2 linked regions of the Neodiprion lecontei genome follow. The protein of the gene in region 1 purifies or fractionates together with the protein of each later gene. This does not show direct contact. Links are inferred from orthologs where the notes say so. Each region holds a gene or a part of one and is shown on either strand. Other genes may lie near its edges.

Region 1 (10,422 bases):
AATCTAATGGAATTGAATTAATGAGGTTCGGTCCGCTAGATGGCGACAGCATTACGAGTCAGAACGGCGCTCAGAAGCAATAAGGGTCACAATCTGATTGGCGCTTAGTAATCAGGGTCCAATGTAATTGGTGCTTTATGGCACTTTTGCTGAAGCAACGTCATTTTAATTTTCCCTTTATAGTCACGCCTCTACTCTTAATAATGTTCAACAAGCTATGCGATACCGCATGCAATTTATCGATTACATTCCGATAATTTAAGGATCCACTGGTCTTCCTGATCTAGAAATGTCAACATCCCTCGTGCGTAAGAGTCTAGACATTTTGGGCTGTGACGACGACTACGTGAAACGAGGTAAATATGTGTCACCCGTGTCAACTGACACAACCTAACCTAACTTAACTTGACTTAACTGCCGGATTCACGCTTGTGAAAAATATGAAATATATACGACGTTATCATCGTTCCAGGCAGAAAGAAAAGGGCGAAAAAAAGCGAAGGCGTTCTGGACTTGATTCCAGCAAATCAGAGGATACATAACAACAAGAAGGGTAAAAAAGGTAGGCTGTCTCTCAGTGAACGATAATTAACCAATGAAAAAAGATTCGCCAAGTATATCTACAATTGTTTTGAGGATGTTGTAGAACAAAACATTTGTCCAAGTCGGTCTAAAAAGATTGGGATTAAAGAGGCAAAGCTCAGACTGAGCACGAAGATTGATGAGACAGATAAAAATATCGAGAGGCTACTTCTGCTTAGCGGTAATCGCATCGATCCTGAGACTTCGGAAAAGGTATTTTTCTGAAGCTTTTTATATTTTAAAAATTTGTTTCACAAACTGGCGTGAGGTAATATTGCAATTTTTCAGCATCGATGTTTCCTTAGAAATATTGATATTTAATTCAAGTGTTATTGTAAGAAGCATTTTATAGCATTTTGTTTTGGTTTTGCAATACAAATACTACATGTCACCCTTGCTATTCATATATTACAGCTTTTGAAACGGGCTTTGAAGAGACGTTATGTTCTGAAAGAAACTGAGCCTGCAGAGTCTGAGCAAACTGCGTTCACCGAAGAAGACTTCAAACAGTTTGAGAAGGAGTATCAAGTAGCATAACTGCAATAAGCCGTCTGTTGGATCAGGCGATAGGATGCTCAGTAGCGATAGAGTAAATGGTAAAGTGATCCTTATTTTGGCTTTCTGTTTTTTCGTTTATTATACAATCTGGGTGATAGGATTGCCCTTCATCGACGATAGTTGGCTGAGGTCGTTTTTTTATTCATCAAATATAGCTCTCATCGTACCAGCTGTATCAGGTCTCTTGTTTATTGGGGGTTTAGTATTGTTTACGTTATATCACGTCAGACCCTACCTTCAACATTGCAATCGAACAAAGTAATGCAGTGACGCGTTCGTCAAGTAGCAATAATTTATTATTATTCGGTGGATTGTACCTGCATTGTTGATTGGGGTAGAATTTTTCAGCACAAGACATCAAAGAAAAAGGAAATGAAACAAAACAAACATACATTACGTAATTGAGTTACATAACACGTGCATACGTATGCGCCCATGAACCAACTGCCCTGAGATAGCTGTATGCAACTTAAATTAGTATCATCGTATTCTTGGATTAGTATCGGAGTACCATTTGTTGAATAAGTGACCAAGTTTAGCGTCTTCGTTTACTTTATTATCAAACTGTGGTGGTGGAATAAATTGTTGGTAGCTTCATATTGGTATTCTGGTTTCAACAAGTGAGACGATAAGATTACTTCGCGAAATATAGAAAAATAAAAATAACTACGATGAGCGACTGGCTGATTGTTGGAATATCCGGAGTTACGTGCAGCGGGAAAACGACTCTGTCTAAAGAAATAAATGCCAAGTTAACCAACTCTGTAGTTATAAGTCAAGATGATTATTTCCTACCGACAGATAGCCCACGGCACACTTTTATACCTGAATTGAATCATATTAACATGGACATAATCAGCAGCTTGGATATGGAAAAAATGCACAATGACATATTGCAAGTAATTCAGGATTTTGAAACGGGAAATGGCGATGGGAACTGTAGAACTACTAGGAGAGTATTGATCGTTGAAGGATTTCTCATTTTTAGCTACAAACCAATATCAGATTTGACCAATTTAAAGTATTTTATTACCCTTGACAAGGATGAGTGCTGGAAGAGGCGAGAACTTCGCACGTACCTTCCACCAGACGTTCCGGGTTATTATGAAAAAATTGTATGGCCAGAATTCTTGAAACATAAGTCAGAAATAATAAATGACAGTAGTTTGAGCGAGGTTAAATTTATCGATGGATCAAGATCAAAAAAAGATATATTCGATGAGGTTTACAGTGCAATTAAGTGCCTGATGTGTAAAGAATGTAGCGAATGTACACAGAGCTTGTAGAGTTCCTCATGAAATTATAGGTGGATAAATGATGATTTGTATTATAATATAAATAAAAAGAAAACCTACAAGTTTTCCTTAGAGCGCAATTGAATAAATACATTATCGAATGTGCATTCAATAATATATGTCATTTTACAGTTTTCTTTAAGGACTTGTCCTTCTGACCGTGTTCCTCGTGCAGTGATTGTTAATCACCGATCCAAATATCCTTGCAACGACCTAAACTCCTGCAGCAAAGTAATCAGCAACAACTTTTTTGAGACTTTTCTCATCGAAAAGATGCAACTAACGGATGCTTAGATTACATAATTCTACAAGAAAATTTGTGAGTCAAAATTAATACTTTCCATTTTTATCTCGAATATTACAAGTCACAATCAACATTCGTTAACTTGGGCAATGACTGAATCAGTATTTTGTAACTTGTAATTCTTCCGTTTCCTGTTGCCGCTTTTGGAAAATAACATTGACTTCACAGTGAATACAGAATAGCGAATTTACTGCACTATGCTTATTAAATATTATTTCGAGTCAGTGAATTCACAAATTAACGTTGACTAGATAAATACCTGCTATAAATATTCAGAATATCTATTAAATATATTAGTATTGTGCCTTGGTACGCATTTATTGATAAAAAAATTCAAATTCCGAATAAATACCAGAAATGGTGAAATAGGTAGTTATCGATTGTTAACGAAAGCTGACGTATAATAGAATTCGTTGGCAACTTTAAATAAAGCTTATTTCAGAAAAGCCAATGCAATTTTAGTTTAGAACTTAGAATCTAGTTTTATTTGCAAAAACAGTTTTTAGTTGCAATAGAAACAAAGGTTAGAAATAACATTCCATACTTAGAATTCATCCGTAGATTACAAGACTTATTTTTACATTTAACACACCGTAGTTTCTAAAGACAAATAATTGGTAATTGCTGTGACAATTTTTAGTACACTATATATCAATTAGGCAGTTGTATTATCAGCAATGAGGTTTGTAAAAAGTGCGAATAATAGTAAACAAAAAAATTTGCTTTACAAATTTGTTTAATTATGGTTAACTGAAATGAGCTTTAACATTTTCTTTCCTTTTCTCGATGTGGCTTTTTGAAAATGATTTTTCCCTTCTTTTTTTCCATTTTTTGTGTTTTTTTTTTTTTTTTTTTTTTGTATTTGTTTTTTAATAAAGATAACGCACGATCATGGTATGTTACATGGAGTAAGTGCTATGTTTAGACTGTCCTTGGGTATTGGTTACATTGGTATGTACGGGACCTGTCAATGGCTCATCTTGATCTACATGACAGCACACTTTACGCACATATTGAGGTGCCAAAAGCACTTCTTCCTCCATCTCTAGAACCCGTTTATCGAGCTCCGTGCAAGCTTCCATTTCTTTTTCAAGCCTGGCAAGCATTTCGGGTGAGTTATACTTCTCGGGATCGTCGTGAAACACGACCATTCCATCTTTCTGATTGATCGTTGCAAATATCTCGCCGTCTTCAATCTGAAAAAGAGATTATGCAGCCGCTTAGTAAAGTTGTTTAGCCGCAAAGCAAAAATGACGTGAGTGGCCAATCGAGCATGCTTCTCACCATGTTTAGAATATATTGCTCAGCCTCAGTGGGCCCGGGAAGTTGTGCCCTGCTAGCAACGTCCGTAAGACTCAGGGTGAGGAAAGTTTTGGTGAGTCTCTGTATGTTCTTTTTGTACAAGTAGCGTAGGACTTGTTTCACCAATCCCCAGTTGTGATCTCTGACAAACAGCTCTTGGTGCTTGGTCATCACGGTGTTAACTTGTGCGCAGCTATTGGTCGAGTAGGCCGTCGCGATATCGTGATACCCCTGACTCAGTGGCTTGATAAACCTGTTAACGATCTGACTCGCATGCTTTGGTATGGTCACTATTTTACCATGAAGAATCAACGACACCAGCATGTACTTTTTGTACGCCTCCAACATTATGTGGCTCACCGACATCGCAGGGGTCGTTATGCAGACCTCGAAAAAGTACAAGGCTCGATTGTAGTTTTTCAATGCCGTGTATATCATTCCACCGTAATAATAGTATAGCAAAAAGTATTTTGCATCAAAATATCCACCCTCTTGACTTATACCGGTTATATCAGTATCCAAAAACTCTAGCGCAGGCTTGAAACACTTTGAGAGTAAACACAGCTGGCACAAATCTGCGTGTATAGATGTCAGCTGGCTGTCGAACAGCTGTATTTTTCGTATTGCTCTGCGCAAGAGGTCGACACCTCGCAGAGGCATTTGCAGGTCTATCAAGAGTTGGCTTAAAAGGTGGCATAATTCTGTGTCTGAAAAAATATACGCCATGTGTTAATCATCGATGACGATGTATCGTAGAAGCAGCTAAATAGTGACCAAGAATGCAAAAATTATCACATGTATCCGGGGCGAATCTGACTTGCTCCCCGTTGCATCCTACGATGAAGTCTTGGACCTGATTCAACAGCGGCTTGTAGGCATCTGGGTTGTTTGCTCCGTTGGCATTTGGCAGGGAAAGTTTTACGCAGAGGACGGCTAGGATTCCCAGTGAGTGTTGCTGTAGGTCAAGTGTTTCTAAGACATTGTCTAAATGTGGCCCGTTTCTTGCGAGCGTGGTCGTAGATTTATTGATAATGTCACAGAGCTCTCTGAAGTTGCCTGCGAACATGAAGAAAAGAATTTTTAAAACGCGAGGACAGAATAAAGAGCAAAATATGTAATTTTTATTTTCTTCAGTTTTGCTCGGTAGAAACTTCGAAATTTTTCAACCGGTGGGTCAAATTCTACCCGACCGGTGTTCAAAAGTTCAGATTTCAATTTTCCGATCACCTATCGCTGTTTCACAGGCAAAAAACGATCATGCGATTAGCACTATTGAGGTTATGTACCCGGTTCTCTCAATTCTTTGTTCTAATCAAATTGGCTCCTACCTTGCGTTGAGAGCGTACGGACATTATTTACAAATAGCTCGAGTGACGATGCCATTAGTGATGATACTTTCATCATCAATATCAAGTAACGTATTTATATTTACAACGTTTATTATATTTCTTTTCAAATTATCGGAGCCAGTGACGTTTTGAAACCTTCTACGAACACTCAGACCGCTCTGAAGCTCTCGCAGTTCTTACAGAATTCCGTCAAAGGGCTAACTTCATGATCCTTGCTCGTCGATCAACGGATCAGTCGGCTTCGGACGTATTCGGTCGGCAAATATTTTTTTCGCTTTTTTTTTTTTATCGTCTCTTCAGTTTCCTATGTTTACTCTATTTACTGACAGTGTAAATACCGCTGACACACGAAATGACTTTCATCGGTAACGTTACCGACATGTTTTTGTGCTCGAAATTTAGTTCCAAGAATCTGATCAGAGTGAACGTCGCTGCTGCAGCGACGCTACTTTCAGGCTACTCACAGAATTCTGGGATGCCGAAGAGTTCAAACGTGCTCGGCTCGTACCATGTATTTGGATTTGTTCAAATTTATACTCAATTTAATGGTTCTTCCTAATTAACTCGATGTGTGGGGCTGGCCTTGGTAAGTGATTGTCATGCAAACAGTTCTAAGTCACCGAGAAGTTTGTTTTCACCCGGTATGCCTGTAACTTGTTGTTTTTTTTTTCAATGGTGAACAAACAACGCTAGCGATTTGACTGTTACGTATACATCGCACCGAAGTCTATATTGGATTCTCCGTAACAGTCTCGTATGCTGTACATACGGCTTTTCGCGCTTCTCAAGTGGTAGAAGTGATCACTTTTATTGTGATCGTGGTCTTTTTTGAAAAATACACTTGCATCGACGTGACGATAAATCACCCTCGGTTATCTACAGGCAATCTATTTTTTACAGTATTATTATTCAGTTGTGGATGTTTCTCCAAAGATTGCCGCATTATTTCTTTTAAGCAAAGAAAAACGAGAATCTAATTTGTTTACTGGCTGTGTTGTTGAAATTTGAATTTAGCGCGTAAATTAGTGATTCAACATGGCTGACCTTGCCACTCTCTGCAGTTAAACAATCTCGAATCAAGTCAAGTCAGTGGCGCCTTCGGCAGACCAACAACACGCGAATCGATTACTAAAAACGACTGTGGCGTCGGTAAGAATGATTTTTAATAATGCAGTCTGTAAGCTTAGCGTAAATAGCTGAATTCTATAATTTGTTAGATGTATAGAAATTTGCTACAACGTGAACAGTTTTTCAGCACCTTTTATTCGCGCATTTAGGGGTTTTACTCTTCTTCTCCGTTATTGGTTTAACGAATTTGTATAAAAACATTGTATTTGGTTTACTCGACGTTGAGATTTTGAGTAAAAAAAAAAAAAACGTTAGTTACATCGAAAGTTTATTCGAATTTCTACACGTATCACACGTTTTACTTTATAGATCAAGCTTCTATATTACCGTTCACCAGGATCCTACAACTTAGGGTAAAACGTATTCGGATTGTTACATAAACGAGAGCTAAATTGTTTAATTTCAAACGATTATCAATTCCATGAACTAATCGAGTTGAAATAACATTTCAAACATGTCAGATTATAATCGATAAATAACAAACGAACGAGTCAACGTCACGTTCAAGTGTTGTATGGTGCATATTATGCATGTGTTGTAAGAAAAATTAACAGATTAAAATGAAAAAAAAAAACACTTGAAAATCTGCGATAATGACGCGCGACTTGGAGTTGCGGTCCTTCCAAGTTATTATACGACTATATAATGATATCGCGGTACTCGATACATTACACGAGAAAGTAAACATACGTCAATGGCGCATGTAAGTAATTCATTTACCTACCTTTAGGAATAATATCATACGAGACTGACTACGTCAAATGGCTCACGCATTAAATTTAAGTACTCACCGCGACATTACACTTTGCATACATCTTTCAGGTGTGAATGTCGTGATTTCGGTAATCAGAGTCAGTAAAGGAAATCGTCGAAGATTCTTATTGACCCATCAAATTATATTGCTGTACAAGCCGTGACAATGAAAATAATAGGGATGAAGTTAACAATAAGTTAGTTTAAAAGTATCATACGGTTGTAATATTATTTGTCTCGCATTTCACTCGATTTAACTGTTACTGTAATATAATATTTAGCTCGACGTGATTGCGTCTTGCGAAGGTATTTTCATCGGAATACGAAAAGTTTTTTTAAACGATAAACAAAAAAAAAGGTGAGAGTTTTTTTTTTGTATCAGTTCTCTTCTTCTCTTGTATAGTTGTAATAATAAACGGTGAACATGAATACCTAATAAATAATCGGAATCGATTAGAATTCATTTGGCTGCATGCGCATGAGGTTGAAAAAAATGTCGTTGACTGATTAGGGATTAGTAAAAAGGAACTGTAAGAACGATCTTGAAGGAACTTGTATACACTCTATTTGGGAATACCTGTACTAATGGTATAATCTGTCGAATGATCAACCGCGCTCTAAAATATAGGATTCGGAGTAATAAAGATCGTTGCGTTGCGTTGGGAAACCGCGGTTACTTGGCAACGATAAAACAATAATCTATTCGCCGCGATGATCACGCGAAAACGTTCTAAAAGCACAGTGCAACGATCTTTGTACAAAGTAAACTGCAATAACGAACGATTAGCAATTGAAAGAAGCGAAAGATACGTTATAGTATAAAAAATTGTGTCGGAGAAAATTCGAAAAAGATAATGTCCAACGTTACGTACAACGAGTTGTGGAAAGAGACGCAGGCGAGTCTCGAGGAGATTTCACAGACCGATAATATGGTTCAAAATTTAAAGGCCCAAAAGGACAGGCAAAAGGCCCGACAAAACGTGGCCGAGCTTTACGTCCGGTACATAGTAGTGACCAACAAACTTAACCAATGTTACGACCAGGTCGTGCAGCCGCAGAAGAGGATCCTGATTAGAAAATTGCTCGACTCCTGCGTGGGCCGGGTTTTGGAGCTGAAACACGAGCTCGTCGACGTCGATTTGTCAGAGTACAATTACTACGACGATGTTTTGCTCAAGTACGAGGTCACGCCTCAGGAGGCAGAGATTCACGTTCCCACCTACTTCCTCAGGGAACGGGAGACCGAGATTAGGGAGAGGCGAAAGTTCATCGAGGATACGCTCAGGGGCCTCGGTTATTTGCACGAAGAACCCGCACCAAGGAAAATGACCGAGGTTGAAGCCATACGGTTGATACAGGTTCGAATCCATCTAGGATCAATTGAAATTTACGTCAATTATACAGCATATCTGACATGCGGAATAGGAAATAGCCAAATTTTTTATTTCCTAGTATGAACATTTTTTAACCATCAATTTTCAAACATTTTTGATACAGCTGTTTACCGTTTCTCATTTCTATATATATCAAAGTTCTCGACAAATTATCAACTCTTTTTATTCTATCATTTTTTTATCGTTTAAACGAAATAGCTATTTTTCGTTAAATATGATTTTGTTTTTAGTAGTTTCATAATTAAGTGTTCACAAACATCAGTGTTTGATATATTTGAAATTTGTCCATCAAGATTCGAAAATATTTTTCATTTCACATAGTGCCAAACACGTTCGAATTATTTATAAGGCTACATATATATTTATAATTTTCTAAAACAGAATAAACAAAATAGTCGAAGCAATTTTACCAATGTACACAATTTTATCGTTTAACACTGTTTACACAGAGTTGAAAATGCTTAACAATACTTTTAACGTCAATAACGTACAGAGTGAACTGCTAACGACTTGATGCTTCGATGCGCATGCCCTAAAATTCGAAAACGTATGCGGTTGTTTTATCAGGACGACCAACATTCATAACATCAGATGACAGGGCGCCGCGATATATGTAACCTAAAAAATGTTGGCAGTCCTGTTCATCTTTTAGCGCATGCGCGTTAAACCATTCGGTCGTCCCCAATTCACTCTGTATTTAATAATAACTCTAATTTTTACGAATCGAAAAATGTTCAAAACACCCTCCTTTTCGGTTGGTTGAATCTTTTTTCACCAGACTGTACCCGCGCAATATGAACTCTTATTAGATTACTGCTTGAACACGATATCTGTGCATGCGCATGACGGATTAACACCGTGTTATACATATGCAAATTAATCTTTGGGCTCGATTTATGTAACCGCGATAATATGTGCGATTTATATGCCATATAGGATGCAATTATTACACTGTATCAACGAATGATGATCGATATCGGTGATTGCACAATACGAAAATTATACAAGCGTTCATATATCATTCGATTAAGCCGTTATTGTTATTATTGGAGTATTTAAAAAAACAAAAAAAAAAGAAACAAATTTTCGCTGTTTTTTTCTTTACACTGAATCACATTCACTTGTGATAAAAATTAGACGAATTTATCGAGCCGATTGACGTAAAAACAGCATCGGCGTCGTTGTCGATTTCGATTTTATCAGCGTATAATTGTTATAAATAAATAATATGTAATTCAGGCACACGAAAGAGCGAGGCAAGGACGCGTTCGTTTTCAATTTATGAAAGAAATAAGGGAAATGAAAGAAAGATCTATGGCGAGGCAAGAAGCGGAAGGCGATGATGCCTCGATCGGTATCTCGGCCGCTTTGAGGATTCAAAAAGTATGGAGAGGCTACACGACGAGACGAAAAATCCGCATGAGACGTATCGAAGAGATGCTTTTAATCGGTATAATTCAATTTTACCTAAAACTAAAAACAACAATTAAGACTTGAGGTTAGATGGTTCGACGATTTTCTATTCGTTTCTTGATTTTTTTCCATTCTTTGTTTTCTCCTTTTGAAAACAATTTATAAAATTTGAATCGCAGGTATGGTTCAGCCAAGCCAAGTGATAACCGATAATTTTCGGCAGTCAGAACGCGTCAAGCAATACCGGCACCAAAAACAATCGGAATATCAAAAAGTTTACGAGAAATTATTGGTCGATGTCAAGGAATCGATACGAAAAGAACGGGGGGCTATTATCGAGGAAA
Region 2 (12,116 bases), on another chromosome or scaffold:
AATTTTAATTATAGGACACCACGAAATCATCAAATACATTAATCTTATAATCTTTTGCAACAAATGATGTTGTACACAAGCTAACAAAACGGTTTTGAACTAACGTGGATATTGGAGGAATCCGAAATGAATACCTTGGCCTTGCTTTGAGGGAGCCAATTAACTCTGAAATAGAAGATACTATTTTTGAGATACTTTTTTTTTTTTTTTTCTTAATCAATACTTTTCTCATTGCTAAGGTAAGGCCGACGTTTTTCATGCGGAAGAGAAATAAAAATAAAACACCCTGATAAAACTGATAGATATTAACGAACAAGCTCCGACGTAAAACAAAGAAAAAAAACTCGAGACAGTCAGAATCACAAGAATATACATATAGTTCAGCATACAACGAACTTCGGATTATTGTTAAACAACTAATTACATCACTGTAACCTTAGTGATTTTATAATTATATTTCGTCATTCGCGATTTCCAAGGTAAAATATACTGCTGCCATTAATAGGCGCTCACATACTTTACCTGAATATATTATTAAGACTTTTACTCGATGCACGACGCAGTGTTAAAATTGAAAGAGATTCGTGGGTGTAACACTCTAAGGCATGTTATGTACATTATAAATAGAAATTAGTTATAGTCAATGTATTGACAATCGTATTAGAATAAATATATTTATGAAATTGATTGTATAATTTTGAAATGCTGCTATTATTTCCAATTTATTATAAACCAATCACGTAACTATTTGAAGAAAATTAAAATTGATTTCGATAATTAGGTCATTCAAAAACATGTGGTCGCTACATGCTTACGAAATATCGGACAAATAAGTGAACAGTGTCTTTTTTAATAATCTTTCTAAAACGCTTTATTGTAAAACGTGTTTCAAAAAGAAATAGACTGAACAGCATTGAGAAAGAAACTTACATTCACATTTAAGATTAAACTTAACGACTGGGTATATATATCATGTCTTTGTATAAAATATAACTTCACAGTCTGTAGAACATTATCACGATTTGCCAAGTTACTTACATCTTGTTTTGTATCATATCGATAAGCTTGGCTTGGATTTAGAGTTATTATCGTCCACAATACATATCATTTAAATCAGTCTTTCAGTCCTTAAGCCATTGACCAATCAGTTGACCAATGCGTTTCCGGGCCTCGGTCAATTGTGGTGGATCATTATCCGACTGAGGATACATATTGGCGCAGTGGGCCGTGCCTTGAATTACAAGAACCAGAATAGGTAACAAACATTCCAGGCCAAACAGTGGCTGAATACTCTATATTGTTAATTTGATATTAAAGGTAATACCATTCTGTGTAATACGACAACTTCACTACACAATATTTCGATTTATATCTGTATTTCAACAGTTTTCTAATCAAATAAAGTGACTCACCGTTTATGTAAATAGCTGGTGCCCGAGGGTTGGTCGACTTTATCTTGCCAAGAGCATGCCACGGGTCAATACTTCCATGGACAAATACCACGTTGCTGACATCCAAATCGAAAGCTCCGTAAATTGTATTGGTACGTTCGACCGCAGATTGCAGGAGATGTATATTGTATCTGCAAAATGAATTGAGGCAAGTTTATCGTGTCTCTGGGACAAGTGATTATTTAGATATGTACAATCATTTTCGTTCGCAAACAACTTCCAGAGAATCAGAGCACGTGAATATAAAATAAAAATTTGCAAGTACGTTTCGATGTTAGACAATCAAACAGTAATTGACATCTACCTTGGTCCAAATATGTCAGTGCACTGCTGAACAAAGAAATCTACTGGAAAAGTTTCGCTGAAAAGCTGAGGTCGCGCAGTCGATGTCTGGAAGAATCCGAATTCGGTGCAGGTTTGATAAGTCCATTGTCGACCTTTGAACGTTAACGAAAGCGTCAGTTTATGTGATAATTAACTTGAACCGTGACTGCACCTCAATCGATTATGTATGAACTTTACCAACCTCCTTCTGCTGCCTCATCAGCCCAGCTGACATTCCGAAGTTCACTGATCATTTTGTTATATTTATAGTCGAAACATTTCTCATCGTTTGCCTTGAGAAGTAAATTGCTAACCTGAGCTAGACGAGAAACAGGTGTACCTCTGTTCTCATCTACCAGGATGTTACAGATCGTGTCAATCGTTATGTTGGCCGTTTTTGAACTTTTACGATTATCCTTGTTGTACTGTACTACCTCAGCGAAATTGCTTGCCAGTGATTCATACATATTTGCTATATCATTGTTTTTCGTGTGACCGGGGTCAATAGGGTCGCAAAACCTTAAATTCACAAGGAAAAATTAACACATTGTATTGGATTGTTCGATGACATGGAAAAAAATTGCGAGTCACTGCTGCTGATTTAAAAAATAAAGTTAAATAATATGTAAGAACGTTACGGTACAGTACTTGAATTTTTCCGCAAGTCCCTTCTGGCCAAGAGGATGACGCAACATTATGTGAACTTGTTTATTGGCAGTAACGACTGCATCGATGCATGCCTGGGAATGGGTTCGCAAGGCATCTTCGACTACAACGTAATATTCTGTAATTTACAAATAGTAGAAACGTATTATTCATCGGAATATTGTTGTTCCAACGAGATTTCGCCTGTAATGGTATCTAAAAATTAATTCAATCCAGGTCAACCGAATTCAAGGTCTGAGCTTTATTGATGCGGAAAGAAGTGTTTGCATATCTATCGAATGCTTACGCTGAAAATCAATCTGTGCCAAAAGGGGTCCACTGGCTGACATGGCTCCGTGAACAAGGTGAGGATACTTGGCTCGAGACCAAGCAGCCAGAGAACCTGGATAAGATCCGCCAAAAGTGATCCATTTGGTTCCTGCAGGAATCTGATGTCTGAGATTCATCCCTTCGATGAAATAAGCAAGATCGGCCAGTGCCTGTTCAGAGCTCAGATACATGAGATTTTTCACACTCAAATCGCTGGAAAAAATTACATGAGGTGAATTTGCAAAAAAAAATCCTGAAGCCAATGCGAGCTATACATAGAGTTATCATCATGGAGTTTTGAAGTAATAACAAATTTCACTTTGCAGCTTACGCAGTCGGGTGGCTTTTGCCATAGAAGCGATGTTCCAATTGGAAACACAAGGCTCCGTATTGCTTTGCATATTCAATCCATTCTCCTTCTGCCATCCACTTTGGATTAGCAGTTCCTTCCCCGCCAATCATAAGGAAGACTGGCCCTCCTTTCTTGTAGAATCCAGAATTGGTAAAATATCGCTGAAGAAAAAATAAGGTTTATCAACATAGATTTTCCCATCAATAATGCGTATATCGTATAGCATTGAATGAATATAGCATAAAATCGGAGCTAAGTAAATGAGAACTAATTTTCCCTGTCTAGGATCATCAGATATAAGTATAAAACATCATCACACACCTGTTTCCATGTTCTAGCGTCGGTTGGGTTGAAATGGTCAAGAAATTGTTCAAACCACTGATCCTCAACTGGCACGTAATCTTTAGAGAGAACAGGCGATCCTAGGTTTCCACCCTTGCTTCTGCCACGTGCAAAACTGCGCAATGCTAATGCAGCATTAACGCCAGCTAGCAGAATTACAAGTAGTCGAATGAAAAGCATATTAACGCCTATCAATTGTGAAACAACCTGAAATGACAGTGACACGAGAAAAATTAGCTGCAGGAAACACAAAAGATGTGGATTAAAAAGCATTTCATCTTTTAAGTGATGTCATTTATAGTTTCCTTTTATTACATGTAAAAAAACCAACGGCCGGCTGTTGAAGTAAAAAAATAGAGATATCTAACAAACTGTCTGGCAGAAATCAGTGTTGTTATTAGTATTATTGTGTTTCACCGACTTTATTATGACTCATTTGTGATATTGCAACTACCTTAATGTAAGACTATCGTGCAAGTGACGTGAACGATGTTAGGTATAAACTGGTGCCGATGTAAATTTAGAGAGAAGAAATTTGACCTACTGTATTACGGGTCACTGGGATTAAAAGGAAATTTGAAGGTTACAGGGAAAGGAATAAAAAAAAAATAAAAACAAGAAAACTAAACAATCGAGAACGAACGGACCGATATCATATTAAGAAAAGTTTTTGAAACCTATTTGACATGAGAAACGACGGTTATTTTGACAGCAATACTAAAGTATAATGTTATTTTCTCGAAAATAAACGGCTGCTGATACTTGCCGGGTTATGGATGATGGATGAGTGTGGGTTATTCTGGGAGAGGTAGTTTTATTTCGTCAGGCATGCGCTTGACAAGGATACTGAGAATACATCTGGTACGCGCGACGACGACAACAACAACGTCGTTTATGACACGGAGAAGTTAAGTACCGACCAAGTATGCATTCTCCAAAAACTAGCATCGATAAAGAAGAAAGCGATCTTTCCTATCCTACGACGACTTTCCATTAAACCATAGTTGTGCAATTTCGTAACATGTTTACATGCAAAAAAGCAACCTAACCGTCACAACGATAACTCATTCGCAGCGATTTTACAAATCTCTGATCGCGAGAGGTGAGCTTCGTATCTGTCACCGATCTTCCGACAATTATATCGCCGTGTAGTAGGATGTTGCAAATTATTCATCGATTTGTCTTGCTACGGTAAAGAAAAATTCAACATAATCATACCTTACATATATTTTCTTATTAAACGCGTATCAGGCATGATATTGTAGATAAGCGATCGTCCCAATTATCCAATTATACACTCGTATTTTGTCAATTATCAAAGTACGTACTAAATTATTACATCATTGAAATGAAATCTCCTTGCCGGCTGTTGTCGACAAAAGCTCGAGTATGAAACTATTAACTAATAGTATTAGGCAATGGTGAAAGAAATACAAGAATTTATTATTCGATTAAAAGTATTGGCTCATCGGTCAATTACGTTTTACGCTTGTACGGGTAGTTTAATTAAGCCGACATACCTACCTAATCTCATGCCGAGGTAAACAACTCGCAGTTGGATGATCGTTGTCGCAGGCGCGAATTTTTCGGGTAACTCGGAGGGCCCGAAGATCTGTTTACTTCTATACGAAATTCATGTAAAAACTATTCGAATGCCCGAATATTTATAATTCGACCAATTTTCTTGTTCTAAAAATTGTGCAATATTTATATAATTATAACGCCAAGGATTGTGCCAAGAAAAAAAAAATATCTCTGTTGTTCACTTGTGAAAACTTATTTAATCAATGCGCTCTACTGCCGTAGGCAGTGACACATTTGCTTGTACGCGTTAAATATTTGAATTTTCAAATAGTCTGCTTCTACAATTGTGTATAATTCGACAACCGGCCTGATATTTAAAGTTCGCACATGTTTAAAGATTAGACATGTAGGAACCGTGTTAAATAATTTTTCAACATCTACAGCGTTGTTGAATATTTATTTTTATTCTTTTTTGCTTTCTATCCTCATAACGTCACGTGATCTGAGTACGTACATTTATCTCCAACCAACCGAATCAACGTATTTCCCTTCACCGTCTCGTGGGGGCGCAGAAACTTGCCAAAAATTGTGTTATTACGTATAATTATTATCAGGATCGTCCTCCATATTTCGCGTGATACTTTCATTCGACACGGAAACAAGAGTGTATGTCCTATGTAGCATAATGAGACTGAAGTTAGCGTTGTATTATATCCTCAGTATCCTCAGTCAACGAAGTTCGTAACGTTATTGTCATGATTCGTCTTTCGGAAAACCCGTTATTCCGTAATTTTAAGAATCTCCGAAATGCAGTAAATTGTAATAATAAGACAAAAGTAATTCATATGTTCAAAACTCAGCCACTTCGAAGTCATTACAAAATTGTTAAATAGTCATCCCCCCCCCCCAGCCTCGTTACCCTGACGTTACTAACTTCCTACTACTTCTTTGCGCATCATTGCTACATTTAAAAATCGATTCACTGTATGCTATTAGCCGATAAGCATATCCCAAAAACGAGCTAGATTACCAATCATGTACATACATTATATGCACGTAGACGTTATATATAACATACATGTATGTAGCACGCGATAAAAATATATTGCGCATTATGTGACAGGCGTTCTCTTCCTTGTTTGTTGTTTGTCAATTGTTTTTCTTTCTTTCTCGTTCTTTATTCCCCCCTCCCCTCCCCCCACTCTTTTGTCCCTTCTATATTTTTGATTCTTTGGTTTTTTTTTTTTTCACATTCGGCGCACGATAAAACCTTGAGCGAATTGACTCTGTAAGGCGATAAGAGAATTTTGTGCCGGAATAATGAATTTTCTTCGATGTTGTACAATGACATATGTGTAAGTCACATGACATTCGTTTAGAGACAGAAATTTTATTGCAGTCGATCGTCGTATAAGTGTTCGTGCGATAAGAGGGATCGCGATCCATCGAATACATAATCCTGTTATTATTTGTTTATTTTGTTTTCCTCAATTCGACGCACTGTGCAAGATAAATGATTCTCTTTCGCGCGAAGAAGGCCTGCAGTGTTGAGAATACCGTATATTTTTAATTTTATATTTATTTTTTGGGTATATACATATATATGTATATATATATTTATATATATATATATAAAATATATACACACATGCACGTGCGCGCGCGCGCACACACATACACATGCATATATATGTATATATCTAATATAATTAAGACGAAACGTGGAACGTGAACGTGCAATTAAAATACACCCTACATAAGTATATTCAGTGAAAAAGCAAAACCTGTACGGTGGGTAAAGTGAGAGACTTTGGTGAAGAGGTGTACGCACACTTTGAAGTTTACTACCGTCATTGGGCCTAGATTTCTCTTCTCTACTTCTTAGTTGTTTTCTTCTTCTTGTTCGTCGTCATCGTCGTCCTCGAGGTTGTTTCAGTTGTATATATAATACGCTTTATAAAATTCATCATTTCACATCTGGATGGGAGCCATAAATTCGCGTAGTATGGATTTCGAACAGGATCCAGGACTCACCGCTATCTTGCAATATTTGATCAGAAGGTTTGCAACCAATATACATAATCTCGCAATATTTCGGATTTTCCTACGAGTGTCAACCTAACCTAACCTCTCCATACGTACCCCGTTATTCTTTAGTCAACTTTGACAACAGTAACAGATTTTTTATTTACGAAGTATTTCAACTTGGCATGCAGGCGTACGTAGAATTTGTTCTCGGAAAACTGGTTCACATTTTTATGCACTCATTAACAGCTGACTTCTTACAGATGAATGAAACTGTGTTGAGAATTGTCATTTTCATTTCCATGCAGCAAAATTATATAAACGGAGGAAATTCTAAACTGAGAAAAACTAATTTGATTTGATATTTATGTTTTATTCTTTTCTTCAACAGTGGGCAGGTACATATCATATCTTCGGATCAGGATGACTCCGACGAAGAGTACGGCAGTTCGCAACCGCCCAGAGTGACGACAAAACCTAACACATCGATTCTCGACGTAAGAAAGTTCGACGAACTTCAAACATAACAAATTTCACGCTTGTGTGTGGGTTGTTATTATGTATGTTGATTTGATTTATTTTTTTTTAGAAGAGTGAAATAAGTCTGGCAACAAAACAGGCTTGCGGACTTGGCGACACCGGCGGTAAACCAGCAACGTCGATTACTTCTATGATACAAAAAAGAGCCGTAGGGCCAGGATTTAGTGCAGGACAAAAATGTAGAATAGCCAGCAGTTTTCTACCAAACAAAATGCGTCAAGTGGCTAAATACAGCAGCAAGGCTTTCTGTGGATCGCATTCCAAAGATGGGAGATTTTTCCTTACCGCCAGTCAAGGTCAGCCTGTTATCAACATTCCATATCACAGTTTGGAAACTTGATCTGCGGTCTATACCTATTTTCATATGTAAAATGAATATATGTTGAAAAAAATTTATTTTCAGATCGATTTTTACGTCTTTACCACACACAGGATGGAGAATTTTTAGAATTCAAAAAGATTCCGGCACGTGACGTTGGATGGAGTATTCTAGACACAGCTTTCAGTCCCGATGGCAACTACATTGTATATTCTAGTTGGTCCGAATGCCGTGAGTGAACTTTTCATGAACAATTACATGAGCATGGTTGAAACGTAGTCAAACTATCGATAAAACTTAGCACGAGCTACCGTTAATAATATTTGATTATCTTGCAGTATACTTGTGTCCCGTTTATGGTGATTCTGTGATCCAAGAATCCCTCTCGTTGTGTCCAGAAGACCGGAGATTTTGTATATTTTCTCTAGTATTCTCTAGCGACGGCAGGGAAATACTTGGAGGTGCTAATGACGGATATCTATATGTATACGATAGAGAATGTCATCAACGTGCTCTTAGGGTAAGTTACTCGGTTGTAACGAACGACTAGCTAATTGAAGTTGCTTGCTTTAATCCAAGGTAATATTTCCAGATCGCGGGTCATGGTGACGATGTAAACACAGTTGCCTTTGCAGACAACACGTCACAAATTTTATACAGTGCAGGAGATGACGGTCTTTGCAAGGTAAGAAGGTTTATTTTCGGTAAACAACATTTTTCATCTCGATTCTTATAATCGGTTTTTCTTCTTCAATGATTTCTTAGGTTTGGGACAGAAGAACGTTGAGCGAAACTGATCCTCACCCTGTAGGTATTCTCGCAGGGCATATGGACGGAATAACTTATATCGACCCACGAGGAGACGGCAGATATTTGGTAACAAACAGTAAAGATCAGACAATCAAGTTATGGGATGTCAGAGCATTCTCGGACCAAAATGCCGAGCTAAACACACGCAAGGCCGTCGCTACTCAAAATTGGGATTACAGGTGGCAGCGAGTACCAAAAAGTTGTAAGTTGCGATGGAAAAGGCATACCTTAATTTCACTCCGGCATACATAGATTACTCATTTGCGAATTGTGTAAATGGTTACCGTTCCATTTTCCTTAGTATATCAATAATTAAGTTTCTTCACCTGTTGCAGTGTATAAAGTAAAGAATATGCTCGAAGGAGATACAAGCGTGATGACGTATCGAGGGCACTCCGTGTTGCAGACTTTGATACGTTGTCATTTTTCACCGGCCGCGACAACGGGTCAGAGATATATATACACGGGTTGTGCGACGGGAAAAATAATAAGTGAGTAAATCATCAGAAATTTCTCTATTTCATCATAGTATTAACATTGTTACACAGTGTTATCAGTGATTTTCACAGTATGTTGATATAATCGTATGTTTCAAAACATTACACATGTAACGTTACAGTATATGACGTGTTGACTGGTGTAATAGTCAATGCTCTCAATGGACACAAAGGCTGCGTCAGAGATGTCAGTTGGCATCCGTTTCATCAAGAAATAGTATCGACTTCTGTAAGTGGTTGATATTTTTCTTACAAGACAAAGTTACCTACGAATCCCTTCCTTTGCGATATAAAACAAGATCTTTTAATCTCCATTACAGTGGGACGGAACAATAGGGAGTTGGCGGTATGCAGGCGGAACTTCACTCGACAGTTCAGACTCCGATGACGACAATGATACATTATTGCGGCCGCGTGCATTAAGACGTAGCCAAAGAATAGCTGCCCAACGTGCGAAACACACAGTGGCCTGTTAAGTAGGTAAACGAAATTGCTACGTGGCCAGGTAACACATACGTTTGGGATGGGCTGGTTCTATTCCCAGAGAAAAAAAAAAAAAAGTGATTAAAATATCCGACACCTGGACTGTTGGATAATAAGTAAAAGTAGATTTTTTACAAGACTGAGCGTACTTTTATTTCTTTTTTGCGTTTCTTAAACAGCGTCAAAGAATCAGCCCATTTTCACGAGTAACATTATATTAACACAATAAATGTATAGAAAAAACAAAACATTAGAAAAAATTACAAGCAAAAAAAAGAATCGTTGAAAAAAAATTATTTTTCGTGTTTTTTCGGACTGGGCTTCCCCTACGATACCAATATTGTTACTAACTTTTTTCATAACGTCTAGAATGCGGCAGTGTGTTGAGACTAATTAACCAATACTTTCTTTTACGTCTTATATGCGAACAGCGAGTGTTGAGAAAACAAAGAAACAACAATGTTCCCAGACATATTTTATCATCACCATTTAGAACCCTCTGTTACGTTCCATTTCAAGCATATTCAAACTTATCCATCCATGAAATCAAATGTTCGTTTGAATAAAATATTTTGAAGAAAGATTTTCGTAGAAGTGTGAATTAAAAAAAAAAAGCAAAAAACGTAAAAGGGTAATGAAAAGTATAAATATCCACCACAAGTTTGAGTTTATAAAATGGAGGGAAGAAACAAGTTGAGCGATACAGACACGCTTCCACTAGTTAGTCCAGATTGTTTAGAAATGAAATCAATTTAATGCACTAAGTACGGCATGTAAAAATTTTTCGAGTTAAGCATTTAATCAAACTCTAATCTAATTATCGATAAGAATTACATCTGATCGCCGTGCCATGACAAGTGTTACGGACCACGGAGTTTCGGTATTGCTACACCTAATTTTCTCGCTGTGTTGGCATTTGTTGGTCTCAGTGTACTAAATAATTTTGCTATACATTAAAATTCCGTTCGGTGCCTAATATTAAGTAAACATAAAACTCTTGAATTTGACATTCGAGGTAATACTTTCCAAGCTTTGTAAAAAAAATTTATTGAATCTAAAGGGATACGCCAAAACGAAGACGTCTTGTTAACTTACTTTTCATGTAAGTATCCTTTTTTTACCCATGAAAAGGATAACAAGAAAACAAAAAAAAAAAAACAAAAACGCAAAAACAGAAGAAAATGCAATTTTCTGCAACTCTGTAATGATGTATATATGTAGTTTCTAAAACCATATGAAATAAAAGATAGTTTAGAAAGTGAAAAAGAAAATGTCAGCATATCCTTGTAATTCTCTTATTATTGTCGTTGTTGTTGTTGTTATTACAATCATAATTTAATCAGCTAATTCATTATCTGATGATATTTCATTGAACAGCAAAATATAAATTTGCATTGCATAATAATTATTAGTTTGAATGAAATTTACAAAATGAAAACAATTTCTTATTCTGTCAATTTTGAAAGACTGAAGTAATAATCGATTTAACGAAGTAGTTGGATGAATTCTTCTCTTTTTAGCAATTGCTTTTGAATATCAAGTAAACAAAAATATTTATCAAGTCTAACGACAACTTTTTTTATGCGTTGAATTTGTATATTATTCAGTTTTTTTTTTTTTCATTCAACAAAAGTATAGCTTCCCGCGTACGATACCTAGATATATGTGTGATTGAAAAAAGTTAGTTACAAATTGAAGAAACGCTGGATTAAAAAAAAAAAAAAAAAAAAAAAAAACAACAAAAAAAAATACCATGATAACAAGTCATATGGCTGTGATACGAGAATTAAAAAAAAAATCAGTTTACGTGACTGTATGATTTGCTGTACCGTGTCTGCCAGTTTAAGACTGTATCTATAACGTGTATAATATATTGTCAAAAGTATCAATCACAATTTGTAAGTTTAATACTTGATAGTGGTAAATGAAAATGAAAGCAGCTTTGTATTACAAACGGACAGACGTTAATTATGCATCTACACAACGTACATTTGATGTTAAATATTAACGGTAAAAACTAGTCACAGAGTAATGTAACGAAGTAAATGAAACAACATATGTATTAAATCTTTCGAACAGTGAGTAACGGAGGAGGTGTATTTGATAGGTATTATATTCTAAAACCTTAGCCATTGTCTTGCGTAAATTGTGAAATGAGAAAAAATCCCATTCCACGCATATGAAATTGAAAAAATGATATCGTTATATTTTTAATTTCGTAAAAAATAGATCTCTGTGTGAAGATATGAACTTGGTCATGAGTACGGAGTGAAAAAGAAATATGGTACAGACAGGGACCAGATTTTTCATTGTAAAACGAATCGAATTGGCGGTAATAGATGTTCTTCTTTTGGTTAACAATGCCAATCAGCCGGCTGACACGGACAAGAGTAACAGCATTCGGCTAATCAATAAGGAAATCTATTGTCTCGAATAATGAGCCGTTGTTCTCATTGTGCGATTAATTTTTTTTA

What was found. Proteins that work in one complex are often made in the same cells at the same time.
Region 2: the proteins of COP9 signalosome complex subunit 3 (region 1) and DDB1- and CUL4-associated factor 11 purify together in Homo sapiens (affinity purification with mass spectrometry; 3 studies listed by BioGRID and IntAct, counting the BioPlex papers as one, with this or other methods). This does not show direct contact. The link is inferred for Neodiprion lecontei from reciprocal best matches to the Homo sapiens genes COPS3 and DCAF11.

The regions. Positions count from the first base shown.
Region 1 is NC_060262.1:2,586,639-2,597,060, forward strand, and holds COP9 signalosome complex subunit 3, read right to left. Parts: upstream 5,653-10,422; 5' UTR 5,446-5,652; coding exon 5,370-5,445; intron 5,098-5,369; coding exon 4,837-5,097; intron 4,749-4,836; coding exon 4,024-4,748; intron 3,936-4,023; coding exon 3,639-3,935; 3' UTR 2,427-3,638; downstream 1-2,426. Other genes in the region: active regulator of SIRT1, read left to right, coding at 290-356, 473-562, 647-795, 997-1,119; nicotinamide riboside kinase 1, read left to right, coding at 1,812-2,426; dynein regulatory complex protein 11, read left to right, coding at 8,126-8,629, 9,905-10,115, 10,258-10,422. UniProt on the Homo sapiens protein: Component of the COP9 signalosome complex (CSN), a complex involved in various cellular and developmental processes.
Region 2 is NC_060261.1:2,510,568-2,522,683, reverse strand, and holds DDB1- and CUL4-associated factor 11, read left to right. Parts: upstream 1-4,227; coding exon 4,228-4,352; intron 4,353-4,493; exon of another isoform or gene 4,494-4,600; coding exon of another isoform or gene 4,601-4,635; intron 4,636-6,297; exon of another isoform or gene 6,298-6,312; coding exon of another isoform or gene 6,313-6,323; intron 6,324-6,371; exon of another isoform or gene 6,372-6,526; intron 6,527-6,682; exon of another isoform or gene 6,683-6,949; coding exon of another isoform or gene 6,950-7,029; intron 7,030-7,121; exon of another isoform or gene 7,122-7,178; coding exon of another isoform or gene 7,179-7,186; intron 7,187-7,384; coding exon 7,385-7,490; intron 7,491-7,582; coding exon 7,583-7,829; intron 7,830-7,936; coding exon 7,937-8,083; intron 8,084-8,190; coding exon 8,191-8,372; intron 8,373-8,444; coding exon 8,445-8,537; intron 8,538-8,617; coding exon 8,618-8,864; intron 8,865-8,997; coding exon 8,998-9,153; intron 9,154-9,281; coding exon 9,282-9,388; intron 9,389-9,479; coding exon 9,480-9,635; 3' UTR 9,636-11,394; downstream 11,395-12,116. Other genes in the region: putative serine protease K12H4.7, read right to left, coding at 1,122-1,231, 1,413-1,582, 1,756-1,888, 1,978-2,294, 2,424-2,559, 2,728-2,963, 3,082-3,263, 3,424-3,624. UniProt on the Homo sapiens protein: May function as a substrate receptor for CUL4-DDB1 E3 ubiquitin-protein ligase complex.